Linked DNA regions of Kluyveromyces lactis. The protein of the gene in region 2 purifies or fractionates together with the protein of the main gene of each other region. This does not show direct contact. Links are inferred from orthologs where the notes say so. Each region holds a gene or a part of one and is shown on either strand. Other genes may lie near its edges.

Region 1 (2,863 bases), on a different chromosome or scaffold from region 2:
ATGAAGCTCCTTCAATTTTTTCATGCTATGTAAATTGTTTTAACTTAACTTATTAAGACTTTAACTGACTGCTTCTTTTAAAATGAATATACTTATGTTTCTAAAAAGGATACTTGAATCAATTATCACGTTGTTCCGTATCTTATCCTTGCTAGCTCGAACTTTCCACTAAATCCAAAGACTTTTCGAGTGTTATTTCCTGTGATTTATTGGCCGTTTTTATTCATACCTAGAGAAGCCAGCAGGAAAATTCAAAACAGATTGATCGATATTACGACCGAATTCCAATGGCTGTTATTAACTCAGCACGATATTAGAAGTTAGTGTTACTTAAAAGAGATATAGAAATGTTTTATTACATAGAATATGAGAGTAGCAATGGTATAACGGACTTCACATACTACCGTTTTACCTGTCACACAGTAACATTGCGAGCTCTCTGGAAAAATTCATTTTTAAAAGTTAAAGAGGGCACGTACACGGCAGGAACGAGTATTTGATTCTACAATAAATCATTCCAATATACGCTAGCCACATACATTTTTAAAGAAGTGAGTGTAGCGGCATTGGTAAAATAAACTAACGCATGTGATCGCGAGAGCTTATTTAACTTCAGTAGTCTCAACAGCTTCTTCTTCTTGGCCACCTTCATGTTCACCAGCCCACTCTTCTTCAGCAGCTAAGGCTTCACCTTCCTCGCCATCTTCATCGACGTAAACATCATCGACTGTTTGGTGGAAGGACAAAGTTGGCTTGATAGCAGCGACATCCAAGGTCCAGGATTCCAAAGCTGATTCGGCATCCATGATGATTTGTCTTGAAGCTTCGTAACCATCGTAAGCGGCTCTAGCTTCTCCAGGAGTCACTGGAGAATCGTCCAATAGTTCTAGTAAGGCCTTACCGTAACCAGCGATTAATGCGAATTTCTCAGCTAATTCTCTCACAGAGTCGAATTGATAATTGAAAGCAGCCTTTAATCTTTCTCTGGTAATGTTAGACAATTGGGCTTCAGCAACCAACGATTCGGCTTCAGCACGAACCAATTCTTGCTCCAAAACTGGGATCTTGGTGGATTGAGGGTCCTTGTACTTCAAGTGAGCAATCTCATCAGTAATCTTTTGCTTACGGTCTCTTGATGGTTGCACAGAAGCTTCAATGTTTCTGATAGATTTCAAAGTAATTCTGTATTGGTCATACTTGTCAATGAATTGGTCTTGCAATTCAGCCAGTTCATAGATAAGAACGCCTAGCTTGTCAGTCACGTCAGACACGTCATCGTCATTTTCAGAACCCCATAGAGACAATTGTTTAGCAGCAACACGACGTTCACTAGCAACAACTTCTAAAGCTCTCAAGTAACCCTTTTCGGTCTTAATTAAAGAGGATAGCTTTCTAGATAACAATGGGCCGAACTGACCAGCAGTATTCTTTCTGATACTGGAGGCAAAAGAACCCTTACCAAAAAACTTAGACTTGGTAGTAGATTGTGGTGGAGCTGGAGTTTGGAGCTCTGAAGCTGTAGGAGCCTTCTTATTTCTCAAAGAGTAAGTTCTGTGCATTTTTGGAGACTAGTATCGGTATTTAATTTAACTTCTTGATATCGAATATTTTCTGTTTCCCCTATTTCTTAATCTAAAAGCAGCACTAGAAGAGTAAATTGGCCCAAAAAAAATTTCGATTCAACTAGATTAAACTATGTATCGAAGTTTACTTGATATACCTGCGTAAGACCCCTAAAATTAATCCGTCAGAAAACAAGACAGGTAGAAAGATAATCAATTACTTTATATAGAGGAAAGTTATATGTAGATAGCAAAAAAGGTTCTGTCCCAGGCCAAGAAACTCTGATTATTTTTTTACTGCCTATTGCCCTTTTCAGTTATTCCCAAATAAAAAAAAAAAATGCATAGAAAGAGAAAGAGAAACAGAACATGACCCACACTTACTTTCTCTAGGGACATTGACATGGCATGAGCCACGCAATTTTTCTCTTCTTTGCAAATTGCGGGCACGGTTCTCTATGTTGGTTTCTTCAGAAACTTTTGTTCGACTCTTCTTTTCGGCTTATCATTCGAGACTGGAAAGAATCGTATGTAGGTGGATGATATTATAGTACTTCCTGCTTCCGCTTTGTCTGGTGATGGTGGTGTTGGTTTATGATATAGCCGTAGCAAAAACAGGGCCAGGAAATGACGAACTAACAGTGTATTGCCGGCCTTATGTTGGCTCTTTAGAGTCTCTTATGAAGTTTTAGGGTAATGCTGAAGTACTCGTCCGGGTAACGGTATGCAGTTGATCTAGCTTGAACTTTGGTAATCCAACTGATTCGCTTGAACTTTTAAGCTCATCTCATGATAAATACGTCATTTGATTCCAATCAAGGCGGGCTCTCTTGCATTAGAACTAGTGTTAAAGATCAAGGACCAAGGGCGTTGGTACAGGTTATGGCTGATCAGATAAATGGTGGTTTGGATGACCGTTATGATCGACAGTTGATGATCTGGGGCCATTCAGGCCAGGATTTACTTTCTCAGTCTCATGTGTGCGTTGTAGACGATAATCAGACATTGTTGATGCGAGAATGTGTCAAGAGTTTGGCTCTCATGGGTATTCATGAGATTACTGTAGTTTTTGGCTCGTCTAATGGATCAGATTTTGTGAACAAGTCAAACTCGGATATTTTAGGTTTTGATGCGTTAGAAAGTATGAATCCAGATGTTACGTTCCATATTTGGAACGAGAATGCAGTTCCAATTGATTCACAACATAAGTTATGGAACTCTTTCTCTATTGTCATATGTTTGTGCACGGCTGGTCCGTTGTTACAACGTGTCATGAAACTCTCAGCAGTTCCTCTGATAAT
Region 2 (4,097 bases):
AGGTATATACTCTTCTCCACCGGGATATGGGTCTCGTGTAGCGAACTTGGTGCTAAGCAATCCAAAATTGAAGCAGCAATGGTTCGTAGACGTTAAGAATATGTCTGATAGACTATGGAACGTTAGAATTCAAATGCATGAGAGATTGAATTGGCCCAATCTTGTTGATTTTAAAACACAACATGGGATGTTTTATTACACAGGGTTAAACCCATATCAGGTTCAAATTCTGCAGGAGAGGTACGGTATTTATTTAACTGAAGACGGCAGGATGTCGTTATCTGGAGTTAACGACGGTAATATTGATTATTTATGCGATTCTTTGCGCCAAGTGGTTCAATAATCACATCAAGATGTTTCAATATCATCAAATTGACTTTAATTAATTTCACTTTATTTATTTATTTATTTATTACTACAAAGCTTCGGTTTGAATTGTACATTAGATAGTTTTTAGTGTTCTTAATCACAATTTTTGGGTAACTAGAATACAAAAGGGATTATAAATGCCCATTACATGTGTTTCGTGTTATATTAGTCGCTACTTTTCAGTGTTTCTTGTTACCGAAAAGCTTCTTTAGTTTACTGCTGAAGTTGTTCTTCTTTTTCTTCTCAGTAGTGTGAGTTGCGTTTATTTGAGGCTCTGGCTGAGGTCTCAAAGTAGCATGAGGATTGTATGGCGCGGGTGGAGGAGGTGCCGGTTCATATTCGCTTGAAACTTGAGTAGATCGACTCCCTTGGTTGCTGAACTGTAGGTTTGCGGATTCTTCGTCCGAATCAGAGTCGGCAAATCTTGATTTGAATCCATGAGCAATTGACGACGCTTTTGGTTTGTTATTGTTGGTATTGGAAGCAGGCAGTGGTACTGATCCGGAGACATACTGTACACCATTGTACGTTACTCCACTTTTAACAGGGGTTGAGTTTCTAGATTGTCTTTGTTGTGGATGTGGTTGGAATGGGGCTTGAGGCTGCTCGTACTGGTCAGTGAGTTGCGGATCCTCTCTCAACGATAAGTTTTTAAATCCAAGGTTGGTGGACATCGGTCTTTGCTTTTCGAAGCTTGAACGCTTTTGAGGAGGTTCCCTTGGGTAAAGTCCACTATTTTGTTGCGATTTGGCATTGTTGGACGGCTTCCCTACGACACTTCTAGGTCTAGCATCGCGAGGGGAAGCAACACCGGAATTATTCTGCATGAAAGAACGTCTATCACCATTAACTCTTTGAGCCATCATTGATTGCGGTCTTTGAGAATTTCTCTTAGGAGCTAGAGGCTGCTGGTTTTGCTGTTGCTGTCTTCGGTATTGATTTTGTGCTTGTTGTTTGCTGGCGGTTTCTCTCAAACTTTCGTGAGAAAGTTGCGCATTTAACCTAGTGTTTTCCTTTGTTGTTAAAGACAGATATGCGCTTGAAGCTTGAGATTGTTGTTGAAGTTGTTGGCTGTTGTGGTTTGTTTTCTTCATTGCGGATTTTATAGGTGAAGGAGTCTTTTCTAATGGAATCTTAGGGGTAACAAGAGCATCCTCCTCATTAACTCTCTGGAGTTCTGGATTAGCGGACCTGATATACTGAGCGAGGGTGCTTTTGCCTGTCTCCGGTTGGGACTCCGGTTGGGACTCCGGTTGAGATTCTGATTGACGTTCAGCAACGATAGGATCTTGAACTTCAATTTGATGTTCCTCTTCATCAACCACTTTTTCAACTATAGTTTCCTGGACACCATCGTTGCCAGGAAGAGCCTTTTCTTTTGAATCCGGAATATCTACTTTAGATGTGTTATGCTCTGCTTTTTTGAGAGATTCCTTGTCAGTTTCCTTCTCGGCATTAATCGTTTCATCTGGCAAAGAAGTAACTTCCTTCTGATGTGTAAGAATAACGTGTTCTTCTTCTACCACTTGCTTTGAATCAAGGTCGATCTTTTGTTCAACAGCTTCTTTGGTAACGCTTAGATCAGTATGAATTTTTGGCTGTTCTTCTTCTGTCGCTGAGTCTATCAAATCTTTAGTGATAGCTCTTTCAGGAGTCTGTGGTAATGCAGTACCGTTACCGAAGGATGGGGGTTTGAATTCTTCGACTGGAGCTGATGTTTCTTTGGCTGTAGTTGCATAGACAGTCTTTGTGATTCTAGGCACCGGTGATGGCGAAGACCTATAATGAGTAATATCCGCTTTTTTTTCTTCAACGGTAGGAACTTCTGTAAGTTTTTTCAATGGGGTTCCAGAAGGTGTTCTATGTCCAATTGAGTTTGCTCTTAAAGAGGCATGACTCCTTTTATTAGAAAGTGAGTTTCTTACAGTCATCCCACCACGTAAAGAAGTCGACCTTCTAAGACTGTTTCTCCTCTCAGCCTCGTACTGTTCCAAAGGAACTTCGACTTTGACCAACCCATGGCTGCTAGGAATGTATCTAGATACCATTTTAGGCTCATTATTGTCATTATCAACACGTACCAGACCACTGGGTCCTAGCACATATTTGGCCTCATTACCACCAAACTCATGGAAAACCTTGTCTGCATCGCTTTGAGCAACCCTGTTACCACTCTGTACGGAACGCATCGAGCCATACCTGGAAGAACGATCTCCAGTATCACTAGCATGTCTCACAGAGTTCCGACGAGAACTTGGTTTGGGACTGTTTACCATCGAGTAGGAACGGCCACTTATACTGTTATACCTGGGAATCTTACTCTTATCTACAACCTGGCCCCCAAACGAATCCTTAGAAGGTACCAGTGCCTTCCCAATGGTGTTTGCAGCAACCAAAGCACCAGGATCAATAGAACGCGATTCTCTTGACTTTCTAGAACGAAACATTTTTTTTATAAAAGCAACAGCAGCTTCTTTAATCCCTCTCTTGAACCAATTCCACTTAATATATACTTTCAGCTGACTGATACACGAATTACACCTGTTCTAGTGCCCTCTAACAAACAGTAATGGTATTTTACGTGCCTTTGCTTTCGTTATTTCTGTTGATGTTCGGCACTTAAAGTTCGATTTGAATGTTTTGCCCTTTTTTTTTTTCTGTTTTTATCTCAAGGTATCAATCATTCGAAAAGAAACCGAAATAAGACCAAATCGGACCTAAAGGTATGAAAACAAGAGACAAGAGGGTTACCATTGGTGTTACAATGTTAATAGTAGGTAGGAGGGGAACGGAATTGATCTGACGGGTTTGTTAATTATATATGTGGAGAATGTATCGGACAAACTAGAAAAATTAGATAAACTGTACGCAAAATGAGAAAAAGATAGAGCCTTTCTTACTCGACAGTCACGGATTTAGCCAAGTTTCTTGGGAAATCGACGTCGATACCGTTGTTGACTGCCAACCAATATGAGGTCAATTGTAATGGGATAATGTTCAATAGACCTTGTAGACAGTCGACAGTTTGTGGAACTTCCAAAGTAATCAAATTGTTGGCCTTGGCCTTGTTTTGCCAAACTTCATCGTTTTCGTTGCAGATAATGATTGGATGACCCTTTCTGGCTATCACTTGTTCGATTGAGGAAAGGACCTTTGGGAATAGGGAATCTCTGGTACCGAAAGCGATGATTGGTAAATCTTCGTCGACTAATGCTAGAACACCGTGTTTCAATTCACCAGCAAGCACACCTTCTGAATGCATGTAAGAGATTTCTTTGATCTTCAATGCACCTTCCAAGGCACTTGCGAATTGGTAACCTCTACCTAATAGAAGTAAAGATTTCTGATCCTTCAATTCTTTAGCACAAAGTTCTTTGATCCTTGGTTCCACGTTCAAGACTTCTTTGATTTGACCTGGAATCAATTTCAAACCTTGGATGATCTCGTTTCTTCTTTCGATCTTGGAGACTCTATCGTCTGATAGAGAAAGAGCCACCATTACTAATGCAATATATTGTGATGTATAAGCTTTTGTTGATGCAACACCGATTTCTGGACCAGCATTGATGTGGACACCGCAGTGAGTACTTCTAGAAATGGAAGAACCAACACTGTTCACGATACCCAAGGTCAATGCACCTCTTTCCAAACAGTAATTCAAGGACAACATGGTGTCAGCAGTTTCACCGGATTGGGAAACAAAAATACAAACATCGTCTCTAAAGATT
Region 3 (4,377 bases), on a different chromosome or scaffold from region 2:
TCCAATTAAACTCCGATAACTATATGAGCTCTGTGATTATAATGAAAGATATTACTTTCATGAATAACTTTGAATAAAATCGATGATTGTTCATGAAATTTCATTCCAAAAAATAAAAAAAAAAAAAACTTCTCAAAAGTCCGCTTTATTTATATCAAACAAGAAAGACTGAAGTGGGACAAGACAAGGAGTACATTGGCTATCCCCTTCGTGCACAACTTTATCTAATGGATAAAGAAGTAGAATGATAAATCAATATAAATTAGAAACGACATATTTTAGAAATTACAAAGTCCAATGTTTAATGTTATTTCGTTTTAAGATCTCTTTTGTTATTCAATCAACAGTTATGACTTCTTCAACGGTTTCGTAGTCATATAGAGAAGAATTTGTGGTGTTTGCAGGTGGAACAGCTGCTTTCGTTTTTTTGTTGCTACTCTTCAGGGCATTTTCGACTGCACTGGCAGCTTCTGCTTGCCTTCTCAACTTTTCTTCGTGTTCAGCTTCCAGTCTCTTGTCTTCGGGATTACCTCGTTGTTGTGCTTCAATAGCCTTTTCACCTTGTAGACGAGTTCTTTCACGTTCTACTTGTTCACGTCTCTGTTGTTCTTCTTCAAGTTGTTTGGCCGCAGCTTCACGTTGCAACTGTGCCTCCTTCAGCGCCTCGTCGTGAGTTTGCTTCAGGTTAGCCAGCTCTTCTTCGTGCTTCAAACGAGCTTCTTCAGCTTGCTTTTCGTACTCGGTACGTTGCTTTTCTAAACGCTCCTTTTCTAAACGCTCACGTTCCTCTTTTTCTTTTAGCAATTGTTCTTCATGTTGTTTACGCTCTTCCTCCAATCTCCTAGTAACACTAGAAAACTCGACCTTTTGGTTGGCAATTTCTTGTTGAATTAAACCTAACGAAGCAAGTAGTGAAGAAATTTCGGTATTAATTTCATTGACCTTAGGTAAGTACTCCTTGTTGTCGATACTTTCGATCTTGGAGACGTTTTGTTGGTGAAGTTCTTGAGCTTCTTTAATTTCTTGTTCCAATCTGGCCTTCTCTTCTTCCAAAGCTTGAATTTCAGCATTAGTTTCATCCTTCTTAGCCAAGGATTCATTCAATGCAGATGTCTTATTATCCAATTCTGCTGTCAACTCTTCGACCTTCGATTCGTGTTCCTGGTTTTCCTTGGCAACTTCATCTTTCAACAACAACAATTCATCAATTTCAGATTGGACAGTTTGGTGAGCAACTTCTTTGTCCTCTTTATCTGAGATGGTTTGGTTCTTGATTTCTTCAGTTTGCTTGTACAGATCACCCTTGGCGTTAATGTGCTTGACGTTAGTTTCTAGTAATGCTTGAGATTTCTCAACTTGCTTCAACTTCAACTTTTCCTCATGTTCCAATCTAACCTGTTCCATTTGCGCGTCCAATTCAGCAATTTCAGCTTGAATTGATTGGATCTTTTCCTCGTACTCTTGGGCTTTAGTTTCATACCTTTCATCTTGTTCCTTGGAGTACAGGGCCAACTTGGCTTGGTGCTGGTCCTCGTCGTATTGCAACTTATCGTAAACAGACTTCGAGACGTAGCCTTCTTGTGTTCTGACAATTAACTCTGGATCTTCAGGGGTGGCCACTGGCGCATCATCGCCTGGAACAACGGTGCCAGCAGCGGCATTTGCAGCAACTTTGGTCGAGGACTCTGGTTTCTTCGAACGTTTGAAAAGGGCAAATAAGCCTGAAGCTGCAATTCCAGAAGTAGCTGCAGCAGTACCGGCCTTATTGGCGCCACTGGGTGTGAATGGAACACGAGGGGCAGAATTGATATCTGGTGGAGGAGAAATAGCTTCTGGGTTCTCAGTTGCGATAGCTTCGGCCTCTTGGAATGCCTCAACAGCTTCTTCCGGGGAAGGTTCGGCTTCAGGATCCACTGGAGGCTCCTCATTGTCCTGGACAATCGCCTCGGCTTCTTCGAACGCTCTCACAGCGGCCTCAGGTTTTGGTTCGCGTTTAGGATCGACCGGTTCCTCCTCGTCATCCTGGACAATAGCCTCGGCTTCTTCGAAGGCTCTTACAGCCGATTCTGGTCTAGCCTCACGAGATGGATCGACGTATTCATTAGCATCATCTTCCGGGGCCTTGTAAACACCGGTTGGATTTTCTTGTTCTTCTTCTTCAGCCAACGGGACTCTTGGAGGAACTTGGCCCTGCGCAATGGCTTCTGCTTCTTCAAGAGCTTCAACAGCAACTGCTGCTGATGGCTCGGCTTCAGGATCCACTGGAGGCTCCTCGTCGTCCTGAACAATTGCCTCAGCTTCTTCAAAAGCCCTCAGCGCGGCCTCAGGCTTTGGCTCGCGTTTCGGATCAACTGGTTCCTCTTCATCGTCTTCAGCCATAGCCTCGGCTTCTTCTAGAGCTTCAGCTACATCTTCAATGGGAGGTTCCTTACTAGGGTCCACCTCATCCAGTTCGTCCAAGTTATCCGACGCTTCAATTGCTTCCTGTGGCTTGGTTAAATCCACAATCTTTTGAGACTTTCTCCAATAACGTAACTGTTTCTCCTTCTTTTCCAACGCAGTCAATCTAACCTTCTGCTCAGCCTCGGTATCCTTCAACCCAGAAGGAATAATAATATCCTTGGCCTTCTTCACTGACTTGTCGGTAACAACGCTGTACCCCATCTGTTCCGGGTCAAGTTGTACCGCACCTTGGCTCAGAGTAGGGAACTTCTCCTGTCTCACTTGACGCGCACGTTGAGTTTCTTCCGCCGTACGGAAGGGAGAATGGTACTCATTATCATCTAGTTCTTCCTGGTGCTGCTGTTGTTTCGTGGTAACTCGCTTCAAAATACTGTTACTGTTGGTAAGATCATGCTGTTGTTGCTGTTCGGCGGCATGGTCCGCGTCATCGAGCAACCCTGCAAAGGGGTCAATTTCGTTCCGTTTCCTAAACAAGTTCAAACCGACCATTATTAACTGGAGTTCTATGGGATAGGATGCTGCTGTGTGCGTTCCAAACTAAATCAGGATCAGCGTCTAATCGCTGTCGTTGTTTATATGCAAAGAAACTTCCTTCCTTTATTTATATAAAGGAGGTATAATAAATGAAAAGGGAGGAAAAAAAGGGAGATCCGACAGGGTAACACGCGGCTAACTAAAGAAAGCCGGGTAACACCGATATCACATTGGAAATTTTGAAGGGACCTCATATTCTCGCATGTAAATCGCCAAGGTCATCCCATTTTGCTCTTAGAGCAAACAGCAATAGCAAGCGCAAAAAACGCACGGAGAACCACTCATTTTTTGTATGGCCTCGGCCCCCCCACACTGGACAACGGAAATAAGCAAACTAACAAAAAAAAAAGAAACAAAAAGAGGGACCCAGGGGACGGTTTTGTTTACATTACCCTGCCTCCCCTAAAACAAAAGACGTATGCTTTTCTCATCTTCGGCAGGAAACCTGAATGGTTCTGCCGTAGCGATGTCTAATACCGGGTAATGCATGTTCCCCTATTTCTTACTCGTCGCTGCACCGGCATCTGAGCGAATTCAAGGTTTTCCCTCTTTTTTTTTTCCATGTCATCACAGAAAGTTTTTTTTTTTTTTATTTGTTTTGCTGTTTTCAAGCCGAGAAGACATTGAGATACTGCGCCCGGGTCTGAGATTGCTGTCAATTGTTCGTTTGTTTTGGTTTGTTATGAAACTGGAAAACGCTGGAACAAACAAAAACCTTACCGCTAGAATTGCAGGTACTACGGAAGAGCAGAGACTGAAACTAAAAGCTATGAATGAGGCACTTCTTTATTTCTATTCGATACAGAGGGATATCCAGAGAGATATCCAGAGGTTCCAGTTTCAATTCTAGGTCTCTCTGGTTGCTTTCGGCAGAACAATTGGGTCTAGTAGAGACAGATGCAATTACGTTTTATTCTGAAAGAACTGAATGAAGAAGTATAAGCACGGAAAAAAAACAAAAAAAAAAACCATTTCTTGGTAATGAGAAGAGAAGAAACTGTTGTCTTTTGCATTTGTTATTGTTTTTGCCTCTTTCTGTTAAATGGTATTAGTTATACAGAGTTTTTTGAGTGCAGGTATATAAAGGGTAAAAGTTTAAGGAAGAAATATTTCAATCCGGAAATGATTACATATATTGTATGGTTCTATCCTTTAATAAATAAGGGAAACAAATTATAAATTTTTTCTGGTTCTTACTTTACTTCTTTCCTTCACTCTTTTACTTAATATATAAAATAATACTATTATTGTTTAATTAATAATACTTCTGTTATCAATTAAGGTTTAAGTCTTTACATCAATAAAAGATAAATTAAGTTCGAATTTGATTGCTTGCTTGATAAAAAGTTGGTAAAAGAAATCTCTCAAGCTGAAATTAAA

What was found.
Region 1: the proteins of KLLA0_F13618g (region 2) and LSP1 purify together in Saccharomyces cerevisiae (affinity purification with mass spectrometry, with the first as the bait; 4 studies listed by BioGRID). This does not show direct contact. The link is inferred for Kluyveromyces lactis from reciprocal best matches to the Saccharomyces cerevisiae genes SEG1 and LSP1.
Region 3: the proteins of KLLA0_F13618g (region 2) and KLLA0_D16236g purify together in Saccharomyces cerevisiae (affinity purification with mass spectrometry; 3 studies listed by BioGRID). This does not show direct contact. The link is inferred for Kluyveromyces lactis from reciprocal best matches to the Saccharomyces cerevisiae genes SEG1 and YGR130C.

Annotation. Positions count from the first base shown.
Region 1 is NC_006041.1:1,271,643-1,274,505, reverse strand, and holds LSP1 (lipid-binding protein LSP1), read right to left. Parts: upstream 1,560-2,863; coding exon 603-1,559; downstream 1-602. Other genes in the region: KLLA0_E14433g (TauD/TfdA dioxygenase family protein), read left to right, coding at 1-4; ULA1 (Ula1p), read left to right, coding at 2,352-2,863. UniProt on the Saccharomyces cerevisiae protein: Together with PIL1, main component of eisosomes, structures at the cell periphery underneath the plasma membrane that mark the site of endocytosis.
Region 2 is NC_006042.1:1,261,027-1,265,123, reverse strand, and holds KLLA0_F13618g (uncharacterized protein), read right to left. Parts: upstream 2,817-4,097; coding exon 549-2,816; downstream 1-548. Other genes in the region: aspartate transaminase AAT1, read left to right, coding at 1-343; glutamine--fructose-6-phosphate transaminase (isomerizing) GFA1, read right to left, coding at 3,266-4,097.
Region 3 is NC_006040.1:1,366,382-1,370,758, forward strand, and holds KLLA0_D16236g (uncharacterized protein), read right to left. Parts: upstream 2,953-4,377; coding exon 337-2,952; downstream 1-336.